Oryctolagus cuniculus: one gene and its partner. The protein of the gene in region 1 binds, or shares a complex with, the protein of each later gene. Links are inferred from orthologs where the notes say so. Each region holds a gene or a part of one and is shown in the gene's direction. Other genes may lie near its edges.

Region 1 (7,728 bases):
GACAGGGAAAGAGGGAGACATACACTCACACACACATACACACACACAGGGACAGAGAGAGAGAGAGAGGGAGAGAATCTTCAATCCACTGGTTCACTCCCCAAATGGGGTTGGGCCAGGCCAAAGCCAGGAGCCAGGAGCTTCTCCCCGGTCTCACATTTGGGGGCACTGGGCTATCATCTGCCACTTTCCCAGGGGCATTAGCAGGGAGCTGGATGAGAAGTGGAGCAGCTGTGTCTCAAAGTGGCGCCCATATAAGATATTTGCATCACAGGCAGCAGCTTTATCTGCTTCGCCACAATGGCAGCTCCACATAAAACACTTAAAGCAGTTCCTTGCACAAACTCTTTTTTTTTCTTATAAAGATTTATTTATTTATTTGAAAGGTAGAGTTACAGAGAGGCAGAGGCAGAGAGGGGAGGAGATCTTCCATCTGCTAGTTCACTCCACAAATGGCCGCAACGGCCAAATCTGGGCTGATCCAAAGCCAGGAGCCAGGAGCTTCTTCCGGGTGTCCCACATAGGTGCAGGGGCCCAAGGACTTGGGCCATCTTCTGCTTTCCCAGGCCATAACAGAGAGCTGGATAGGAAGTGGAGCAGCTGGGACTAGAACCAGCGCCCATATGGGATGGCGGCACTACAGGCAGCAGCTTTAGCTGCTATGCCACAGTGCCAGCCCCAACAAACTCTTGATATATATTAGTTACTGCTATTTATGCTATTATTATTTTGTCAATGATATTCATTATGACGCTTCTGACCTATGTGGGCAAGTGAACCTTTCTTTTTCCTCCCATAAAGTCTGTCCCGAAGAAGTGTTGTTTGGGAACTTTCCACTTGTTCTAGAACTGTTCCTCAATTAGACTGTCAGGTATGTGAGGAAGAGCTGTCCTGTATAAATTTCCATATTTCCTATTTGTTGAATAAATTAATTGGTACAAGAAACTATGTGGTTAGATATGTTCACTTTCCAAATTCTTTTTACACCATTAAACAGTGGATTTCAGGAGAGACTTCATGGCACTGATATGAAAACAAAAAACAAGCTGATGAAGTTGGCTATGTTGCTTAATTGTTTGACCTGAGGAAGTTGGTTACAACTCTCTGAGCTCAGTTCCATCATCTTTCAAATAGTGTGGTCAAGTTTTTAGGGTGGTCGTGAGAGTTAAATGAGATGATGCTCATCAAATATCTAGTACACAGAAGGATTTCTTGTTAATAATTCTTATTTTTCTTTCTCCATTACTCCGAAGTGCTGCTCAACAAGAATTCGAAGACAACTGGACAGAAATCTCACTTTTCATAAAATGGTGGCGTGGATGATTGCACTTCATTCTGGTAAGTTTATTGAAATATTTGAAATTGTGAAGGAAACTTTGAACCAGAAATATCTCTTCATTCTTAAGTGACTTTTTTTGCAAGATATCAATTCTTTCAGAGTTCTGTTAAAGTATTTACTGCTCTTTTTGTCATTCCAATATTAGGATTTATTTCTCAAGGTCTTAAAACTTTAACATCTTAGGATCTGCCTATACAAATGAAAATGTGTCATGGGAAAAGTCAATCCAATCATCCTCATTTTTTTCCATTACTTTTAACATAACAAATGTTTGTTAGCATACATATGAGAGCTTTTATTCATTCCACCAAATGGTTGCACACGTGGATCTGTGGATTTTCTGCAGTAAACCTATAGGAGCCAAAAAATTGAGAATCCCTTTAGATAGTTCTTAGCAGCTAAATATCTTCATTGTGGTGGTGATGACGATGATGATGATATTATATATAAACATTATACATATATGAGTGTATATATATAATAATCATTAGGCTAGTGGTATAAGTGCAAAAAGGTGTGTATCTGGGCCCTTATCCAGTGTCTACCAATTACTTAATAAATAATTCATGTGGCGGACAATAGATGCGCACAGCAATGATCACAACAGACTTTTACTCTACCTCAGAGTTTATTCCTAATCCAAGTAAAATAAACTTGGATTACAGATCTTAATGGGTTCTTCTGTTCCTACTAGATCATGTAGGCTTTCTGAGATGGGGTGAATGAAATAGTTCAAAAGAAATGTGACAAAATCTTGTTAGAAAGTAGCATAGTTTACTGGTTAGTATCGCAGATTTGTGTGCCAAACTGCTTGGATTTGGCTCCTAACTCTGTTACTTCCTAGATTGGTGACATTGGCCAAACTTTTAAATAAATGGATGTCTCCGTTCCCTCATCTCCAAGATGAGCTGACACTAAATAGCACCTACATCATTGAGTGAATTACAAGTGAAGTAATTGTAAAGCACTTATAACAATACTTGACACCTAGTAAGCCCTATGCATGTGTATGTTAGAATAAAGAATGCAGTTTGTTTTTTAAGGGAATCACACTTGTGGCCATTGGCTTACATCAATTCAATCACATTTATCAGTGATTTCAGAGTCAGATGAATTGGTCAGCTATTAGGTTTATGAGAGCTCAAGAATGTTTGAGCGCAACTATATTAGGAAGAGACAGTGAAAAGCACCATCCTGAGAGACCAACGCTAGTTTTTAGAATCTTAGGACTTGATTAGGTCTAAGGTGCATATAGTTCAAGATCTTCATTTTACAAATGATGAAACTGAGACCAGAGAGTTTAAGTGATTTTCTCACAGTAAAAATACAATTGGGCAGGTACTTACCTACTAGAATAGCCTTGCTTTGCTGATTCTGGGGATCCTGTTCTTGTTTATAAGTGCCCTGGGCCACCCCTGTTTCTCCCTGTGACATCATTCAATCAGAGGCAGTGGCTGGAAAAGCAGCTTACAATACATTTCTGCATACCCTTCACTTTCTTTGTTTCTCTTTTTTGCCCTCTTTAGCGATTCACACAATTGCACATCTATTCAATGTGGAGTGGTGTGTGAATGCCCGAGTCAACAATTCTGATAGTTACTCGATAGCACTCTCTGAAATTGGGGACAAAAAGAATGAAACTTACCTCAATTTTGTTCGAGAGAGAATCAAGGTAAGCTATTCATTTCCTGATTCAATTGTTCCCTAAGCAGTTAAAGCTGAGGACTAGATTTCAGTGAGTGAAGGTCAGGATATGGCTAGAACCACAACAAAAGTTGGCCAATCATCAGGACAAGTCTGTAGGTTATAAGAATGTGAATACAGAGAGAATGTCTACCACTTTCCTGATGCCATGTATGGAAGATCTGTAGATGTTTCCCAGTTCCTTAAACTCACCTGTGAGAATGTGTGCCTTTGGAGCCTGTAGTAACTCAGGCTCTCTCATGGCCATTCCTACCAGTCAGAAAAGCCAGGATTATGTTTTTAGTCAAACAAAATTTGATTTATTACTACTACAACAAATGAAAGTTCACACTATGAGCAAGTCTGGGGCATCTCATGGGGTGTTAAGAGGAATTTGCTGTGAGATTTAGTTTTCTTTTTTGTTTTAAAGATTTATTTATTTGAAAGGCAGAGTTATAGAGAGACAGTTATAAAAGAAGAGATACAGAGAGAGAGATCTTGCATCTGCTGGTTCACTCCCCAAATGGTAGCAATGGCCAGCACTGGGCCAGGCCAAAGCCAGGAGCCAGGAGCTTCTTCTGGTCTCCCACATGGGTGCAAAGGGTCCAAGCACTTGGGTCATCTTCTGCTGCTTTCTCAGGCGCATTAGCAGGGAGCTGGATTGGAAGTGGAGCGGCCAGGACAGGAACCAGCACTCATATGGGATGGCCGGTAATGCAGACGGAGGCCTTACCTGCTGTGCCACAGCACTGGCCCCATAGATTTAGTCTTAAATTAGATGGTTTGAAGGAGAGATTAGGAAAACAAAGATTTTCTCTAGATTGTTTATTATTAGTAATTGGGTATAGTTCTAGGACCAGGTAGCTTAATATATTTCCCTAGGAGGCACAAGGAAGAGAATGAGGCTAAATCTTTAATATGTAAAGAGGCAGGAGTTACCTGTGTTTTGGTCTGAGCTCAGACATGATTTCAAAGTGGTCTTGTGTTTATTGCATTCCATCACAGTCAGAGCATGACCTAGTCTGAGGTTGGTGTTTTATGAAATTATGTATGTGAAGTAGGGAACACCCCTGGCCTGGTGTTAGCGTCAGGCCAGCCACCAACTGGCAGCTGTCAGTGGTGCTGTGTTCTTTCTTCCACAACATCTGAGTGGTGGCCCACCATTTATTATGCCTCGAGAAGCCTGGTGCCCTGGGAGTGACATAACAGGTCTCAAGGGCAGTCATGAGGTTATCCAGAGGCAAGGACTTCTTCCCTCCCTGCAGTTGCTGAAGCTTCCTACACTCAGAGAAACTCAAAGTCACAGTCATGTGCTCAAAGGCTTGGGAAGATGGCTCAATCATATTGAGTTCCAAACATGTTTTCTTGTACTTAGAAAAGATCATAAGGGGCTGGCATTGTGGCATAGCGGGTAAAAGCCGCTGCCTGTGATGCCAGCATGCCATGTGGGCGCCAGTTCATCTCCTGGCTGCTCCACTTCGGATCCAGCTCACTGCTAATGACCTGTGAAAGCAGAGGAGGATGGCCTAAGTGTCTGGGACCCTGCACCCACGTGGGAGACCCAGAAGCAGCTCCTGGCTCCTGGCTTTGGCCTCGCCCACCACTGGCCATTGCAGCCATCTGGGGAGTGAACCAGCGGATGGAAGATCTCTCTCTGTCTCTCCCTGTCTCTCTGTAACTCTGCCTTTCAAATAAATAAGCAAATCTTTCTTTTTTAAAAAAGAAAAGTTCATAATAGAAGACTCATTTTGTGAAAGAATTTATTATACTCAGACTGACATGGGAAAAATTTGCCTAATCTACTTAAGGACAAAATCAAACAAAACAGAAATTCTTTTCCCGCAATATTTTGGATAATTTTCTTTTACATTGTTCATCGTTTGCCAAATGACACATAAGATTGGTGATATGAACATAATAAGGTGAGCAGACACTGTCACTCTCTGCTCAGATCTCCATCGATCACTTTGACTATATCTATGCTCTTCCTCTTTCTCTCTCTCTTTTTTTTATTTATTTGAAAGACAGAGTTACAGAGAGAGGTAGAGAGAGAGAGGTCTTCCATTTGCTGGTTCACTCTCCAGATGGCCGCAATGGCCGGAGCTGAGCTGATCCTAAGCCACGAGCCAGGAGCTTCTTCTGGGTCTCCCACGTGGGTGCAAGGGCCCAAGGATTTAGGCCATCTTCTACTGCTTTCCCAGGCCATAGCAGAGAGCTGGATCAGAAGAGGAGCAGCTGGGACTAGAACCGGCACCCATATGGGATGCTGGCACTTCAGGCCAGGGCGTAAACCCACTGCGCCACAGTGCCAGCCCCATCTTCCACTCTTCTGAGTGCTTTCGTTTTCAATGATCTATAGTTGTATTCCTTCTTCAGAAGACTGCCTTGGAGATACTGAAGTCCTTTGCCATAGGCTCATAGATCTAGAAGGGCCTGTATGGTTACCTCTCCCTGGATAACCCTTTTTCAGTAATACACGTGTGCAAGTCATGAAAACAGATTCCTCGCTTTGAGTCAAGATAAACTCTGAGGCAGACCTTACTCTCCAGGGTTCCTCTGCAGGATCCAGCTGAGGCTAGCGCCTGCGGAACTTTTTCTGAGATCACCATGTGGCTTGACTTTTTCCTCTTTCCTGTCCCATTCCTCATTCCCTTACCAGTTTCTCGTGGAGCAGGTTTTGTTCTAAATCGCTTTACCATGATTCTTCATCTCAGGGCTTGCTTCTGGCGAACCTAGGCTAAGATGCTAGGCGTTCCCAGAATGCATCTGTGAAAAAGCACTCCCAAATCAAAGGAGAAAGTGCTCCAGACACTTTCATTACGCCTTATAGTCAATTAATTTCTTTTATTTGATACTTCAGTGTATCACTTCATATTTACTATGGCATCTTAACCATATAAGACATTTTAAAATGAATACCTATTCCAAATCCATGTCTCTGTGCTGGATGGTTAGGATTATCCTAAGGGGAAGTGAAAATACCTATTGCTATATATTCTGGGCAGTTCATAAAAGGGTACTCCTGCTTTGAGAGCCGACCATAATGTGCGTGTGTGTATGTGCTTATATTTTACAGAACCCTGAAGGAGGCCTGTTAGTGGCTGTAACGCGGTTGGCAGGCGTCACTGGAATTATCATCACACTGTGCCTCATACTTATCATCACATCCTCCACCAAAATCATCCGGAGGTCTTACTTTGAAGTGTTTTGGTACACACACCATCTCTTCGTCATATTCTTCATTGGTCTTGCCATCCATGGAGCTGAGTGAGTGTTTAAACCCTGAGGCCAGGGACTTTACGTCTCTCTTTTAGATGTGGTGCCTTGTAAGAAGCTCAGTGACCTTGCCGGGGAGTGGCCAACCTGCCCACTGAGGGAGCGGGAAAGGATGGCAGGTATCAGTTCAATAAAAACCACTCAGCAGCACTTTCGTTTTTTACACCCAACTAATTGGTATTGATAATGCAGTTATTTTAGCAAGCCTGACAAAAACAGCAAGCTTTGAGTATAAAACATGAGGAGAGCACTGGTAGGCTCCTGGTGTCTATAACAATATCTCCTGTGGCTTAGTCACTATTGAATTAGACAAACCCACAAAATAGAGGACTTACTGGTTAATCACTTTAAAGGGGTTTTCTGCTGTTCAGTCAGTTAGAACTTAAGCCAATAAGCATTTATTGGTTGCCTACCGTGTATGAGGAGCTGTCTCAGGCACCATGGGAATACTAGCAGGAAAAATACATGGATATTGACTTCAAACATTCTACTCTATTAAACGTAGCTGCTAATTTCTATTGAGCACTTGCTCTACATCAGGTTATGTGCTAACGATTTGACATAAACTATTTCTTTTAGTCCCCAAAATATATAGATACTCTCACTATCCTCATTTACTGGGAACAGTATTGCACACAAGGAATCTGAAACTAAAAACAGTGAAATATGTAGGCAAGGCCACACAGCTGGTAAGTCCACTACCTAGGAATGGAGCCCAGGCGATCTAAAGCAGCCTGTGATACATGCTGTAATAGATACACAGTACCTGGATGCGTGCTTGGGAAAGTTTGCCTTATTGGGAATCCTTTTTGATACCAGGTTTCCTTTTTTACTGTTCACACCACCTGCACACAAAGGCAGGCCTGGGGAAGTTTCCTGGTGGGTATAGGACTCCAAGAAACTAGGGGTAGGGGGATTACACGCTCATGGTTCAAACCTTCAGCTCAGAACCAAGTCTAGAGATGGCCAAGATATGAGTATGAAAAGGGAAGGGTGGGAAGAGGCATCCCTTGAAAACCACTGTGTGCATTCTAATCCTCCTTGATGAATTTGACCTTGGTAAATAATTTCTAAGCACTGAGGAATCAGTGTAGACAAAGATTCTCTTGGAGTGAGTCTTTGGCTGAGCAGTTAAGAAGCCTGCTAATATGCCTGCTTTCCATGTGGGAGTGCCTAGGTTTGATAACCAGAATTTGCTACGTGCATCGATACCCAGCTCTAGCTCCTGACTCCAGCTTCCTGCTAATGTGGACACGGGGAGGTGGTGATTATGACTCTCTTAATTGGATTCCTGCCACCCAAGTGGGAGGCTTGGATTCTCTTCCCAGCTCCCAGTTTTGGCCCTGCCCAAGCCTGATCATTGTGAGCATTTAGGAGTGAAGCAGCAGATGGAATCTCTTTCTCTCTCCCACACCTTGTTTTCTTTCTTT
Region 2 (7,768 bases), on another chromosome or scaffold:
GCCGGAGGAGTTGGCCTTGCCCTTCCCAGGCAGAGCCAGGGACCCCCGCTCGTGTCCCCCCCAGCTCTGTGACCACAGCCCACTCTTCCCGGCCTCGGCCTCAGGGGCTCCGGCGTCACGGGGCCCTCATGTCCCCTGGGCTGCTCCAGTGGCTGCTGGGGGCGGGGGAGAGGCTGGGGAGACACCTGTGGGTGCCCCCTCACGAGCCCCCTTGCCCGCTCTGTCCCCAGGATGTCTTCCTCATCTGCTTCTCCCTTGTCAGCCCAGCCTCCTATGAGAACGTCCGTGCCAAGGTGAGGGCCGCAGAGCGATGGTCTGGCGGGGACCCGGGACGGGAGGCGGGGATCCCAGGGCTGGCGTGGGGGCTCAGGGGGCCCCGTGACTGGGCGTCTCCGAGGGTGGCTGGGCCGGGAACTTGGCCAGCTGCCTCCTCTAACCCTGTCTCTCTCCTCCCCTTGCACCTGCGTCCTCCAACCACACACCCCCTCCTCGCGCCTCTCCTTCCCATCTTCTCCCCAACCGCTGTCTCCGGGGTCTGCACGGCGCCACCCAGTGGTACCCTGAGGTGCGGCACCACTGCCCCAGCACGCCCATCATCCTGGTGGGCACCAAGCTGGACCTGCGGGACGACAAGGACACGATCGAGAAGCTGAAGGAGAAGAAGCTGGCGCCCATCACCTACCCGCAGGGGCTGGCGCTGGCCAAGGAGATCGGTAGGGGCTCAGGCTTGGGGCTGGGGTGGGGCGCGGGGGCTCAGCCTCGCCCCGGGCCAGGCTCCGGCGGTCAGCCCGGGCTGTGCCATACCTCTGCTCCATGACCATGTGCCCACTGCCGAGACCCTCTGCGCCTGTGTTTCCTGGCTCAGAGAGCAGGCGATGGTGACAGTGCCTACCTCGGCAGGAGGACTGAGCCCATACACACGAGGTGCCTGGCGGGCAGTACACGGTGGTGGTTAGTGGCCGTGGCACTGGAAGACAAGGGCAGAGAGAGGCAGGGATGGCATAGGCTGTTCTGGGGTTGTGTGGAGCCAAGGCAAGCTTGGGTTTTTCTGGGAAGGCTCCCTGGAGGAGGTGTCGCTGTCTGAGATTGGAAAGGTGACGCACGGCGTCTGCCCTACCCCCACCCCACCTCCCCCTTTTCAGCCCAGCTGCTCCTGCCCGCAGATGGCAGAGGGGAAGTGACATCCCAGGTCACACAGCGAGTAGGTGGCTGCTCTGTGGTTTGGAGGAGGGGCAGCGAATTACTGCAGGGGTGGGGGAGGGGTGGGGCGCTCCTCAGAGTGGCTCCCGCTGCGCCAGGGAGGTGACCACTGTGGGGCCGGCCTCTCCTGTGGTGCCTGGAGCCCGGGGCCACCTGGGCCTCTGGGCACTGCGCCCTCAGCCTCCCCACAGGGTCCCCCAGGGCTCCCCACCCCCACCCCTCCCTGCCTGGGCCCCATCGTGGCCTCAAGCCGGAACTGGCAGGGCCTCGATCCCTTCACAGGAAGAGAAACCGCAGTGCCGCCCGCCTTCCCCGTGACCGGCCTGGGACGCGGCCATCTTTCCAGCCCCCCCCAACCCCGACGCCCCAACCCTGGGTCCCCTGCCCCGTCCTAGGCCCCGCGGGGGCTGGGGGGTGCGGCCCCACCTTTCCTCCTTCCTGGCCAGCCTGTATGTGTCCCAGACGGCGGCTCTCAGCCTGGGCCTTGCTGGCTGTGTGACCCTGGGGTAGTGGTTTGCCCTCACTGGGCCTCCGTCTCCCCTCACGGGGACAGGACTTGGGGGTGCTTCTCTCCTGGAGCTGGCCCTGGGTGGGGCAGGGCAGGGCTATGGCCATGCTGTGACCTGGGCACCTTGGGCCTGGGGGAGGGCGGGGCCCTGCGGGACTAACCAGGAGGCAGCGGCTGCCTCTGTCCCCTCCCCCGGGGCTCCCCAGCCCCGGGATGACGAATTCTGGGGGCGGCTCTGCTCCCTGCTGCTGATCATGGCTGAATATGGCTGTTCCTGGGAGCTGGGCAGAAGGTTCTCCTACTCCATTCCTGCAGCAGTGACGCGGCGGGGGGGACTGTTAGCACCCCCACTTTACTGGAAAGGGGGGGGAAGGCGCTGGCTTCCGGCCGCACACCTAGGAGGTGGCAGGGTGCACATCCCAGCCCTGGGGACCAAACACTGGGGCCGCCCGGTGGAGGGGGGCCATCGCCCATCAAGAGTCCTGGAGACGGAGACTGAGGCCGGGCGGGTGGTGGTGGCCGGTGACCCAGCACGGGCACAGGTCACAGGCAGAGCCGTGGGCAGCCAGGCCCCCAGCTCAGGACCCTGGTGTTGGCCCAGCTGAGCCAGGCCGGGCAAGCAGTGGGGGTGGGTGTGAGGGAAGAGGCAGCTGCTGGTGGGTGTGGGAGGCGCGGAAGTGCTACGGGCCCCTACAGGAACACGCGGCCAAGTGCCGGTGGCCCCTCTAAGCCTGGGGGGTGATGACAAGGGGACCTGAGGGCTGGCTGTCCTTGCCAGACAGGAGTCCGGGGTGGGGGGGGCGCCGGCTCCCTCCAGTGTGAGACTTGGACGAGCGGCCCCACCCTTTCTTTCTCCCCAGCCCAGGCCTGGGGATGGGGGCTCCCCCTTGTCATCCCAACTCCCCCCTCCTAGCTGTGTGCATCTGGACATAGAGCTGGTGCCGACCCTGCTCTGTCCCCTGTGCCTGTGGGCTTCTCTGGGGGGCAAAGTTCCCCTCCCCTGCTCTCCCCTCCCCTCTTGTTCTCCCCTCCCCGCCCCTCCCCTGCACTCCCCTGCTCTCCCCTCCCTGCCCCGCCCCTCCCCTCCGCTTCCTCTGGGTCCTCTGCAGAGGCTTTGTGCTTCCTCACTTCGGGGAACTGTTGAGCTACAGCGGGCGGGGAAGTCACACAGGCTCCTTCCAGAAGGCCGTGGAGCACTGCCCTGCCCTGCCCGCGGTCGGCCCCGGGCTCCAGCCCTGCGCAGTCGTGAGAGCGATGCCATGTGTGGAGGAGCCCCCGCCCTCCAACTCCTGCCCCTCAGGTGGAGGGGAAGTGTGCTGTGAGGGCTTGGGTAATGTCCTCTGACGGCCTCGATTTCCTCATCTGTACAATGGGCGTGCTGGCTCTGCTCACCACCCCTCCTGCCGGGGAAGACAGACGTGGGGCAGGAGTTGATCTGCACTGCACAGAGCCAGGGGCAGGATCGGGGTGGGGACTCCCACAGCGTGTGTGTGTGGGGGGGTGCTGAGCAGGGTGTGGTCAGATCAGATTGGTCCACAGAGCGTGTGGCCTTCCTCTGATTGGTCGGTGACGAGTACCAGCTTGTATCTTTCTGGGAGAGTGGGCTGGGGTCTGTCCGGGTCTGGGGCAGGGGCCTGCTTTGTTAGATCAGAGCCTATGAGCTCCCGCACAGCCCTGGGTGTGGGGGCTGGCACCGGGGTCCTAACCCCGGGGGCATCTGAACCTTTGGTGTTCAGGGCCTTGGCCCTGGGCTGCCCCTGGCTGAACGCCTGGGCCACTCTTCCCAGAGCAGCTGAGGCTGGGCGGAGAGACTGGGGCAGGGTCCCCATCGGAGGCGAGTGGAGGAGCCCCAGAAACACAGCCCTGCTCTGGGGGCCTGCGCCTCTCCCGCTGAATCCAGGCTCCCGATTTCAGACGTGGGGAGACTGAGACGCAGGCCGCTCCGTTCCTTGCTCAGGGTGACACAGCTCCCAGGAGACCCTGTGGGGACTGGAACCCCGACGGCAGTCCCCACAGTCCTAGGGGTGGTGTGGCAGGGGATCTGCCCAGAGCCCCACCCCGAACCTACGCTTCCGCCCCCAGACTCGGTGAAATACCTGGAGTGCTCAGCCCTCACCCAGAGGGGCCTCAAAACCGTCTTCGACGAGGCCATCCGGGCCGTGCTGTGCCCCCAGCCCACACGGCAGCAGAAGCGCCCCTGCAGCATCCTGTAGGGTAAGACCCCCACCCTGCGCCTGCGCCCTACCCCCCTCCCAACACCTGGCAGGCTCAGGTGGCTGCGCATCCCAGCGGGCACAGCCGAGGGCCGGTATTGAGTGAGCCTCAGTTTCCCCAGCTTTCTTGTCCCCTGCCGGAGCCAGAGGTCAGCAGTGTCCTGTCGCCTGGCCCCCCAGTCCTGCAGGGGACGGTAGGGAGGACAGGAGGACAGTCAGGAACCCCATGGGCCCCAGGCGTGGTTGGGGGGGCGGCCATGAGAGGGGGCGGTGGGTGTGGTTGCAGGGGGAGGAGCAGCGAGCCTGCACTTTGCACACAGGCCCCGGGGCTGCAGGGCGCTGTGGGTTTTGCCCGCCCCCTGCTTCTCAGCGCCTGCCGTCTCCCTTCCAGACTGCGCCCAGCCCCGCCCCAGCTGGTCCTGACCCTCCCAGGGCCCCCAGCGAAGCCTGGCCCTGCCGTCCGCTCCTCGGGCGTCTTAGCAGATGGCTGCAGAGCTTGGCCGACCTGACCGTCCTCTCTCGCCGGACGCTCCCTGGGGCTCTGCGTCCCCGTCCCCCCGTGCTCCCTCCTTCCCAGGGGCCGGAGGGAGCCCCAGGCCTGCGCAGCCGCCCCCCGTGTCACTGCGGTCAGAGCCAGCTGCCACACAGGGCAGCACCTGCGCACTTCCGCCATTCCCAACGCCTGGACACCTGGGGCCCTGGCTGCTGGCCTCCACTTGTCCCCTCGAGGGACCAGGCACTTGCTGTCCCCTGCGCGGTCCGCTCTGATGCCAATGAGCTCCCTCGCCTGGCCTTTCTCTACCGAGCGAAAGCGAGTGTCTCCCAAGCCTGCTGCCCCCGTCTTAGTTCTCCCTGTTTTTGGACAACACAAGGCAAGTCGAGTTCTCCCAGCCCCCAGAGGTGTCGCCCACCGACCCCACGTGTTGGGAGTCGGGCTTCAGCGAACCTCTGCCCTCGCCCCCGACGACCCCCAGCGGCCTGCGCCTGTGAGAGTCTTCAGCGTTCACGCCCTCCCAGGCAGGACTTTGGCTAGTACCAAATTCAAGCTGCTTAAGCAGAAAATAAACTTAGGGATTAGAGTTTGGAAACGTGGTTTCAGGTGCGGCTTGATCCAGGGGACTCCGTGGACGTCATCAGGGTTGGTTTTCCCAGTGTCTCTCGCCTCTGTCTCCTGCCGGCTGTGGCAAGCGGCTCGCAAGGTTTCGTCCCTCCTGGTCCAAGTTCAGGCACAGAGAGCGAGCGGCTGTTCCAGGCAAAGTTCTGATGGAGGTTTACTCCGATTGGCCCAGCTTAGGTCTTAGGCCTTCCTCCCACCAACTGTGTCTGTCTTGGGGAGGCCATGTTCTGATTGGACCCCGCGCCAGGCTACTTCCTCAGCCAGGGTGGCAGTAAGCCCAGGCAAACCACAGGTGCTGGGTGGCGGCCGAGAGGGGGTTCAGGCAGCCAGGACCCAGCCCCCACTGCCACCGAGGGCCACGGGAGAGCGTCTGTCCCAGCAGGTGCAGGGCAGCAGGGCTGGCGCCAGCAGGCCCCAAGCGGAGGGCAGGTGCTGGAAGGAGAGGCGGGGCCTGCTGGGATGAGCTCCGCCTCCGCGTTAGCCCACGGCTGCTCTGCCCTCCGCACACTGCGTCCATTTGTCCCATACACACTCGGGTTTGCGGCCACCTCCTCTGAGCCGGGAGCTGCCCCCCGTGTGTGGGGGGTGCCCCAGCCTGGTGGCACCAGGCGGCAGCCATATGAGTGACAACGGACACCTTGCTCTGGGACGAATGAAAAGGAAACCACCTAATTTGTTTGGTCACTGCTAGCGGGCAGCATTTGTCACCGAGGCCTTGGGACTCCTGGCCCAGTGCTCCTCCCATCACACAGTTGTGCCCAGCAGCCCCTGGGTATCAGATGAGCCACTCCCGTTTGCTCTGCAGATGGGCAGAGGAGGCGCGGCCCCTCGGACAGGAAAAGGGAGACCGTGAGGGAAGTCAGTGAGCCCCTGCTTGGAAACAGGAAGAACCACTGGGTGCAGGCAGGCGCTGACCATCGGCGAACGCTGGCCCTGTCCCACGACAACGGCTCCCGGGCGCCCGCCTAGCACTAGGGGCTGCAGGCGTCAGACTTGGCATGGCCTGGCGGGCGGGGACTCTGCACCTGCAGCCGGCTCAACCTGGCTGTCCCCTGCAGAGCCCCAGCCCCGTCACGTCACTCATCCTTTCGCCCCGCTGGTCACTGGTCCTGGTGCCCCAGGCCCACTGCGGTTCCCTGACCTGGGCCTGGGGCAGTGGCCAGCTCTCCTACCAGCCCCTCCCGCCCCGCCTCCACCGGGCAGCCCCGGGGAACCTGCCCTCTTTTGCCATCAAAATTGTGCCACCCAGGAGGCTCGGACGAAGGGACTTCAGAAAGTGCGGAAAATGGAGTGAGAAGACGAGAAACCTGTGCAGATGAGAGCGTCTTCAAAACTCAAAGTTCGGAGGGGCCGGCGCTGTGGCGCAGCAGGTGCAGCCGCCGCCTGTGACGCCTGCGTCCCATACGGGGGCCGGTTCGGATCCCAGCTGCACCACTTCCTATCCAGCTCCCTGCTATGGCCTGGGAAAGCAGCGGAGGGTGGCCCAAGTCCTTAGGCCCCTGCGCCCACATGGGAGACAGGGTGCCTGAGAGACGGCGGGGGGGGGGGGGGAGTCAGCATGGGCCTGCTCCCGGGAACTCGATCCCCTGCGAGCCCTGCCCGGCTCCCCGGCTCTCCAGGACGCGCCTCAGCCTTGCGCACCGACCCCGGACACTCAGACTCAACCTCCCGGTGCCATTCTCGGCGCCTGTTCGCCTGGTGCTTTTCCTATGCAACCCGGCGGTGCCCCCCCCCCCCCGCGGTCCCACGCCCAGAGGCAGACCGCGGCCTGTGGCTCCCGTGCAGGCGCCCACACGGCATGGCGTGGCGGAGCCCACGGGACTGGGCCGTGAGTCCCCTGGAGGTGGGCTGGGGGTGTTTGCTGGATGCCAATGCGGGCGCCTCGTCTGGCTCTTGCCTTTGGCCAAGGAGTAGCCAGAGCGGCTGCGTGAAACCCAAGTCAGGGGTGGGGCTTGGTGCAGCCGTCCAGGCGCCCATGTTGGAGGGCCTGGGTTCGAGTTCTGGCTCCATGGCCAGCTCCAGCCTCCTGGAAAGCTCCCTGGAGGCGGCAGGTGATGAAGTACCGGGGTTCCTGCCACCCCAAGGAGACCGGATTGGGTTTCGGGCTCCTGGCTTCAGCCTGGGCCAGATCCAGCTGTTGCAGGCATTTGGGGGGAGGGGGCGAACTAGTGGGTGGGAGAACTCCCCCCCCCGCCTCTCAACAGTCGATGGAATTTACCCCCCACACAAGGAGACGGAAGCACTCCCTTGCAACCGAATCCAGCGGCTTCAGGACGCGACGAAGCCCCAGCTTACCCACAAGGCCCTGCGAGCCGCTGCCAGGGCCCCCGCGGAGCTCAGCTTGCGCCCTGGCAGAGCGCCAGCCACCAGGGCTGCTTCTAGCAGCTGCTTTGCCCCCAAACCCTTCCTGCCGCAGGGCCTTTGCTCAAGCTGTTTCCCCCACTCCAACACGTTCTGTCTCCAGCTCCCTCCACGATGGCCCTCTCTCTAGTCCCACAATCCCACACGGCAGGCACTCCCCTCCCCTCCACCGAGGAGTTGCCTGGGTGGCTCTGAACGCCAGCACAGCTTGTCCGTGTCCTTGGGAACCGCTGTGGTGTCAGCGGCTGACGTGATTTCATAGGCGACACCGCAGCCCAGCACAGCAGGTGTTGAAGGGGAGGGATGGAGGCTCAGAGAGGGTGAGACACATACCTGAGGTCACACAGCTGATCAGCGCCAGAGTGGAGC

The links. Proteins that work in one complex are often made in the same cells at the same time.
Region 2: CYBB (region 1) and RAC2 share a complex: the UniProt entries of both Homo sapiens proteins name them as parts of the phagocyte NADPH oxidase complex. The link is inferred for Oryctolagus cuniculus from reciprocal best matches to the Homo sapiens genes CYBB and RAC2.

What each region holds. Positions count from the first base shown.
Region 1 is NC_091453.1:23,802,693-23,810,420, forward strand, and holds part of CYBB (cytochrome b-245 heavy chain), read left to right. Parts: intron 1-1,253; coding exon 1,254-1,338; intron 1,339-2,865; coding exon 2,866-3,011; intron 3,012-6,098; coding exon 6,099-6,289; intron 6,290-7,728. UniProt on the Homo sapiens protein: Catalytic subunit of the phagocyte NADPH oxidase complex that mediates the transfer of electrons from cytosolic NADPH to O2 to produce the superoxide anion (O2(-)).
Region 2 is NC_091442.1:114,244,999-114,252,766, reverse strand, and holds the end of RAC2 (ras-related C3 botulinum toxin substrate 2), read left to right. Parts: intron 1-230; coding exon 231-293; intron 294-553; coding exon 554-713; intron 714-3,790; coding exon 3,791-3,921; 3' UTR 3,922-3,922; intron 3,923-4,312; 3' UTR 4,313-5,009; downstream 5,010-7,768. UniProt on the Homo sapiens protein: Plasma membrane-associated small GTPase which cycles between an active GTP-bound and inactive GDP-bound state.